Nothobranchius furzeri: one gene and its partner. The protein of the gene in region 2 interacts with the protein of the main gene of each other region in a pairwise test. Links are inferred from orthologs where the notes say so. Each region holds a gene or a part of one and is shown on either strand. Other genes may lie near its edges.

Evidence for each region.
Region 1: the proteins of wdr6 (region 2) and g2e3 interact in a two-hybrid assay, tested with the Homo sapiens proteins (2 studies listed by BioGRID and IntAct). The two-hybrid records come from large-scale screens. The link is inferred for Nothobranchius furzeri from reciprocal best matches to the Homo sapiens genes WDR6 and G2E3.

Annotation. Positions count from the first base shown.
Region 1 is NC_091758.1:18,092,699-18,096,566, forward strand, and holds the start of g2e3 (G2/M phase-specific E3 ubiquitin-protein ligase), read right to left. Parts: upstream 3,018-3,868; 5' UTR 2,896-3,017; intron 2,310-2,895; 5' UTR 2,294-2,309; coding exon 2,236-2,293; intron 1,617-2,235; coding exon 1,519-1,616; intron 45-1,518; coding exon 1-44. UniProt on the Homo sapiens protein: E3 ubiquitin-protein ligase which accepts ubiquitin from an E2 ubiquitin-conjugating enzyme in the form of a thioester and then directly transfers the ubiquitin to targeted substrates. Essential in early embryonic development to prevent apoptotic death.
Region 2 is NC_091755.1:33,777,973-33,781,898, reverse strand, and holds the start of wdr6 (tRNA (34-2'-O)-methyltransferase regulator WDR6), read left to right. Parts: upstream 1-845; 5' UTR 846-1,206; coding exon 1,207-1,276; intron 1,277-2,421; coding exon 2,422-2,556; intron 2,557-2,869; coding exon 2,870-3,926. Other genes in the region: uncharacterized protein, read right to left, coding at 230-560. UniProt on the Homo sapiens protein: Together with methyltransferase FTSJ1, methylates the 2'-O-ribose of nucleotides at position 34 of the tRNA anticodon loop of substrate tRNAs. Required for the correct positioning of the substrate tRNA for methylation.

The DNA of each region.
Region 1 (3,868 bases), on a different chromosome or scaffold from region 2:
CCCTCATCTTCTTCTCCTCGTTGGTAAATTCCATTAGACGTTAGCTGGTAAACCAACAAATTTACATTCACTCACACACTGAAAACACCTGAGGTACACCACTCTAAGAGGTTCATCAGTTTCCCAAAAGTTAACTTCCTGCCCAAGACAGGTCGTGTTGGCCCGACACCAGGAAGAGGCATTAATGAATATCTCCTGACCTTTCTGTATCCTTATTGACTTCAAGGTCTCCTCACAAGACATCTCTAAAGGAGACAAGACTTTTATCCAACTTCCTTTTAATAAAAATATCTTATTCTGGCTCATAAAATGATTTCTTCACTTTACAGGTTAAGAACAATTACATTAAATAATGAATGTTTATCTAAAGTGGTTTAATAATCATTTTATATTAAAAAATGAATCAACACAAATGTTTATTCTGGAAATAATGCTTTATTTCATTATAAAATTCAACAGGTAGACTTATTTGGTGTATTAAAGATCTTAAATTATCAGTATATTCACATTTTAATATTGGTATATTAACAAAGGAACATATTTACTTCATATTAAGTGAAATAAGCTTTTCTAAGCGGCTGAGGATCCTGTTAATGCCCATTTACACTTGTTAGATTCGGATTTGTCAAGAACTGATAAATAAGAAATGTTAGGCATTTCAGTTCCTGCAGAAGCTTCCAGCGTATGCTAAAATTATCATCCCAGGGGAAATCAAGCCAGCTTTTTCTGTGGATTAGTTTTTAGCGCCAGAAAGAGCTGTCCTATCAAAATAAAACAATTATTATTATTTACTCCATCATCTACAAACAACTCATGAGCTGTGAAACGGTCCGCCTGCAGCCCGGGAGTCGACCTCTGACCAGCTGGTGCGAATACGGCCCGTGACATCCAGGTGTCAAACATTTTGCTTTCCAAGGAGAACTTTAGCTCAGCAGGATCGCAGAGGAGTCTCCATACACATGTGGGACCGCATTTCTGCACTGGCGTTTGATGAGTCAATTTTAATTTGATAACTTGTTAAACCGCATTAAACAGTCAAATTTATTTTATAAACCAAGACATCACACCTTTCTGAGTCACTTAGTGAAGCTCTTAAACATGCATGGTCATGTTTCATCGGAGTTCATTCATTGTCTCGTTTGATATCACTTTGAATCACCATTTATAATCATGTGCATTACATCATCATAGAAATATAGTAGTAAATAGATTTTTATAAACTATATTTTTGCCCCTGTGTCAAATGATTAGTGTCGTTTTCCTGGCGTTACCCAAATTACCTAGTTTCATCATCAATCGAATACTAAAGGTTCAATAATATTGATAATTAATATTTTTTATAAAATATTAAATTTTACTGAATACTTTTATATTTTATTTACAATTTACTAAAAGTAACCACTTACAAACGTTACAATAGGATGTTCCAGAAGGATAAAAATGTCTTCACTCACTCTGAACCGAAAGGTCCCTCAGGACGTCGTGATGATGAAGAGTTTAACCTTTAGTAAAACTCACCAAACAGAAGTAGTGGACGGAGAGGTTGTGATCCTTGAGCTTGACCTTTTCTCCATACAAGGCTGGGTCATCATCAGCGAATCGACACAGAACACAGTCTGGACACACACACACACACATACACAAATCCATAGTTACAAGCTTCCATTTGTGGTGTGTACAGATTCTAGAACTTCTACAAACTGACCTAAGTTTCTTACAGTTTGTAACTCCAAACATTTTGCTCTACTGGACCATTAAGCATGAAAGTCTTAGGTATTACCACCTGAGTCTCATGTTTTCTGCATACTGCTCTGAGTTGGTCAACCAGTATTGGGTCTATCCCAGGGAGCTGGAGCCTTTTGCAGCTCTTCAGTTACAGTTTGGCCACAATAACCACCATGATGAACATGACCATGAAGATGCCCATTGTAACATGTAGTACCAGGGCAGTTAAAGTCACAGGTTGATGACACCTTGTAGTCAGATCAGACCTTAGTACAAACTTTATAAAGACATTACAGAATGGCTCTTTTGCAAAGTTTAGATTGTACTATTTATTGTGTCATTGGGGTTTTATAAAATAGTTTTCACAAATGTAATCCTAGTAACCTCACAACCTCAGCATAGGATATTTGTTGGGACCCTCTTTTTTTTGGGGGGGGGGGGGGGGGGGCATGAACCCCAGATTGTTTATCACCGTTATGAAGAACAGGTTTAGGTGTGGACATCACTCACGATCTTCTTGCTTGGTGGATCCATCGGTGGAGCGAGGCATCTTGACCCTCTTCTTCATACTGGTTGTTTTCCACCTGTTGGCGAATGATGAAGGCTAGCAAATCATCGTCATGAATAAAACACACCATTTAGATCATCTACACAAAGAAAAAAAAACATGCTTCAGCCTCCTGAAGCACAACCACACCAACAATGTGTACACTGACTGGCCACTTTATTGGGTATACCTTGCTAATAATCATCTTCCTGCACCTCCACCCCCCCCCCCCCCACACACACACACACACACACACACACACAAATTCAAAGTTGTGGTGCATCACCTACAGAATTGCCCCTGAAAGATTGGATATAAGTCTGTCCCCCTGTGATCCACTGGTGAACATTTGAACTGCTCCAACTCAGCTAACCGACTCGGAGGGAACATAAATGTAACCAAGTCAAACCCAAAACTCACAAAGAGAACACAATACATTCGTGATTTTTGAAAGTTTAACCAAATAATATTTTAGGTTGAGTTAAATAAGAACACTTTTTCAAACAATGGATTCTTTAAAACACTCGAACATCTGAACTTGATCGAACGTAGACACGAATAACTAAGCGCTCGACGAACACGAAAAAGTTAAATCACTCACGAAGCGACTAAATAATTCTTACTTTACATCCAAGGAAGCAGAATTTTGGTTTGTGTCCAAATACGAGTCCGTTTTTTGTGTAAATCGATTTCCAGTTTACGTCTGCAGCTTCTGACGCCTTCCAGTTTAAATTTCCCTCTTTTCAAAACAAAAGCCGCTCATTTCCGTTTCCGGTCTGCTGTGTTTGGGTTTTTGGCACGTATATAAACGTATATATTAATGTCGATGATATAAACATGTTTATATACGTATCTATGACTTTTTGGTCCACGGACACATATATTGATCGTCTTTCTCTCCCACAATTGATTATTTCATTTAGCAGCTGACAGTCTTCCCTCGCTAAGTAGACTGTCCTGCCACCAACAGAACAGCTATTTTGGACCTCGGTGAAGTTCAGCTGCAGACCCTCTCCAAACCATAGACATATATACTGGACAATGGGATTCCATAGGCCCCAATAACGAGCAGCTAGGTATTATTGCCCACAATGCAGCTCTAAAATTGAGGCCAACCCGGAAGTACCAGAAATTGCAGTTCCACCCTCATCCGCTGGGGGCTGGTGTCAAAAGCGAGCAAATCCTCATTGACTCCCATGTTAAAAATACCAATTTCACAGTAGAAATAAACATGTTTACAGCCTGGTACCAAAACATGTTTTTTGTTTAAATTATCTAGTTTACACTCATGGCAACTCTGAGGGGGGTGAATTTTTTTCTCACTCTTCTGTTTAAGTGTATTGAAAGCCTAAAATTCTGTATAATTAATGAGCATCCAACACAAGTGACCACCGCCTCAGACCCACGTGACCACAGAGCTAGTTCCGTGGAAAGGCCTCAGTATAGCCTCGGTCTCTCCTGGAAACTGTTTCGGGATTTTGAGTCTCTGTGCTTGTGAATTCTGTTTTGGATATTACTGGTGCAATTGTTGGACAAAATGACTTGCTGTGGCATTAATTGCACTAATAGAGCATCCAAGGAGTCTCCACTTCATTT
Region 2 (3,926 bases):
GTTTTCTTGACCTTGTGTAAATTTTAATAACATTTGGTGTATGTAATCCGCTTTAAATCAATCTACTCTACATGAAATATCACCTGACAAAAATAGGGTAATTAAATTTATGCTGCTATTTGATATTTATTAATTGCAGTCCATACAGTTTAAATTTAAATTCAACAGCAGAAAACCTAAGCCTACAACATTCCAGTCCTAAACAGCTCCATATTCTCTCCTTTTGTACCTGGATAATGCCTGCCTGATGCACCAAAGGACTCCACGAGTGATGTCTGTTTCACCCTAGCTGCAGGTGATGTCTGTTTCACCCTAGCTGCAGCAGCAGCACCTGGCTCACTCCTCTCGTCTTCTGTCCTCTTCACCATGAAGTCGTCATATGCTTTCTTATGGTTTACTTTCAAATGTTTAACTAGGTTAGTTGTGTTACCACAATGCCTCACAGTCTTCCTACAAATGTCACAAACTGCATTGTTTTTATCAGAAGAGCTAAAACTGCTCCAAACATGACTCCGTTTGCGTTCAGACATGTTCAGACCGACTAGTACCGCGCATGCCATGCACTTCCAAACCGTGAGCTTCCGGTTCCGGCAGCAGACAACATAAACAGGGAGCCCAGTGTGCGCCCCCCAGTGGTGGGTTAAAGTATTTATATTGTGCCGTATCACGCACCACGGTTGGCGGAAGAAGAAGTAGTTCTGGTCATAAAAACGTAATTTTTGAAGAATGACCAGCAAATTAATAACTTTAAATCACTCAAATATCGATACTTTAATGACAGTATCGATTCCAAAACATAAATAGCCAGATTCGGAGTATCGATACTTTAGTATCGATCCGCACATCCGGAACATAAACACATGTGGACCATAACGCTTCTCATAGAACTCAATACAATTGTTAGAATTTATAGCCGAAATGTGTTTGAACTGTATTTGAACGTCAGGAAACTAAACATAACTTTGTTTTGTCATTGAAAGAGCTAATTTCAGTTTTTTTTTTGTTTATCGACGTCAAACTAGATAAATGTTCCTCCCTTTAGCTTGTTTGCTAACTGATTGCTCGTAAGTTGTTGTTTATGTTTTATGTATAACGCCATATCTGACCTAATCATGTTCAACACACGAGTAAGAAATCATGACTTAAAGGATTATTAATCATGCTGTTTAAGTAAAAACGACCAACTTTTCTATAAAAACAACAAAAATGGAGACCGTCGCCCTTGTTGCTCCAATCACAGCTTTGGAATTCCTTCAGGACAAGTTTCTACTCACTGGTAAGTTACAGCTCTGATTTTAATCATGGAACTATTTACTTATAGCCATATGCTGAAGGCAAAAGTCATGTATAAATGTATTTTGGAAGTAAGTTTGTTGAAGTGTCTGAAGTTTTTTGTGCTGTTGAACCAGAAACTGTTGAGCTTAATCAGTCGTGGCCACCGTTTTATTAATATTGACGACTAGGTCACACTGTATAACCTTTATATATTCATTCTGGAACTATCTATCAACCGTCCAATGATCCTTCTGTCCAATGATCATGAATAAGTGAAAACACTTGAGATGCTTCCAAACAAATAAGTGATATATTGTAATAATGAGAAGCAGGTTACAGGCTTTGAGCGATGACAAGAGCATCAAAAGTCTAAACAAATATCCTGGTAGATGGAATGAATAATAAATGTAATTGCTGATCAAAGGATATATTTAACATTTTACAGGTTTATAGGGTAAAGTAAAATAGTTCACCTTATAATCATTTGGCTGCCATACCTTGCACAGATTAAATATTATTCAACAACTATTAAAGAATATTAAATATAAACAATAATGATTCATCCACATTAGGATTCATAACCTTTATAAAAGATCACTTAAAGGAAACATATTACTTTTTTCTTATGGTATTTTAGATCTATGGCTTTTACAAAACACGTTTCTGACCATTTTGCACTAAATCTCCTCACATTAAGCAGTTTGAGAAGTTTTATTCAATACCTTCTAGAATGAGCCGTTTTAGAGCTCTGTCACTTTAAGAAAATAGTCTAAAACTGGCCACACCCACTCAATTCAATTCAAAAACACTCATCCCTTGCTCAGGCTGCTATAAGCTGAAGAGCTCCAATATCTGAGAGAGGCTCAGAGTAGAGACGCTGCTCAAGCTCGATGAGTTGAGGGTTGGTTCTGTGCTAATTTCCTCGTTTTTGACATTACAAATGGGGACTTTTTGAAACCTCTTGTTTTAGACACAATTCCTAAACAAAACACCGACAGAAAAAGGATTTTTTTTTCACAACTGACTGGATTGTTTACTGAGGCAGAAGAGAGGCAAGTAGCAGCATAAAGGGATGCAAAAGGTGAATGTTGCGTAATTTGTCCCCTTTAACGGTCTTAAATTGTCTTTTTCTTTCCATCCTGCCAGGTGAAGGTCCAGTTTTGTCAGTATACAGTCTCCAGCCTCACCCAAAAGCCCGCGCCTCGCTGAGTGTGCTCCTACATCACAGAATCCACGGGATAAGACCAAGAAGTCCAGAGACCCTGAGCCAGAAGGAACATGGTTAGAATAGCAAGTTCTTGCTGTTATCATTCTTTTAAGAAATTGCTTTGTCTTTACAAATATAATGAAAATGATTGTGCAAATAACTGATGATTTTGAAAGCAGCCAACAGAAAAGTTGTATTTTTTTACACAAAATTTAAAACATTAAGCACAAAACACACCAATATAACAAATTAAAATAACACATTAAATGTCTGATTGCATTTAATTGATTCAAATCACTCACAACCTCTTATTGCTTTAGAGATTTAGAGTTTAGGGTGTCATTACAAACAGATTTATGAGATCTCCTCTCCACTCTCATCTCCTAGTAAAGAGTTCTGCCACAGAGCTGAACTTCTACGACGTGCTGGTGTTTGGAGGCAAAGCTGTGCGCCTAGTGAGGCTCCATGTGGATTCACAGGATGTGGAACACCTGCATCTGGAGATCCTGGGTGCCCTCTTGGAGCTGCAGGACTGGGCTCTGGACGCTCGCTGGCTCTCAGGAGGAGAACAGTCACTACTCTGTGTGGCTGTCGCTCACAATGGTGCTCTTCTCCTGGATGTTCATACAGGAAGTACTCTGGTTGAGTGTTTTTGTTTAGAGGGCTGTTTGCTGTATTCTGCCCTTCTCCTGGTTCATGAATCCTGGGTGGATACTGTCTTAGTAGGGGGGACTGTTTTCAACCAGTTGGTCATTTGGAAACCAGGGGGATGTCACGAAATGAAGGATTCTGGGTTTAAAGCCCCAGTTGAACGACATTTGTTGGGCCACAGCGGCGTGATCTTCAGCATCTCTTACCTCCGGGAGAATGGGTATCTGGCTTCAGCCTCTGATGACCGCAGCGTGCGGATCTGGGATGTAGGTGCTTTGGGTGGCCCTGGAGGGAAATGTGGGGTGTTGGACCCAACTTGTTTACGAGTCCTTTATGGCCACCAAGCCAGAGTGTTCTCTGTGTGTCTTTCTCCAGGGAGAGTGTTTAGTGCAGGGGAGGACGGGGCCTGCTTAGTCTGGAACTTAGCTGGAAGTGGGAACGTGGTTCGAACACTGAAGGGCCATCGAGCGGGGGGCGTCCGTGCTCTGGCGATAAGCGTGGGGGCAGCAGATAAGAAGTGGGTGGCTACTGGGGGAGCTGATGGAGGGCTGAGGCTGTGGAGAGTAGAAGATGGTGAACAAGCAACTACAGAGAAGCTTACTGATCTGAAACTTCCTGATCACGGCCTGCCTAAGGTAGTTTGTATAGCAGGGGGGGGGAATGAAAACACAAGCGGGAGTCAGTTTGTCACTTGCACCGACAGAGGAATAGTTTGCCAATACAGCGATGGAAAGTGGGAGACATTGTGGCAAGGGTCCCCTGAGTTTGGTTCTTATTGTGTCATGGATACAGT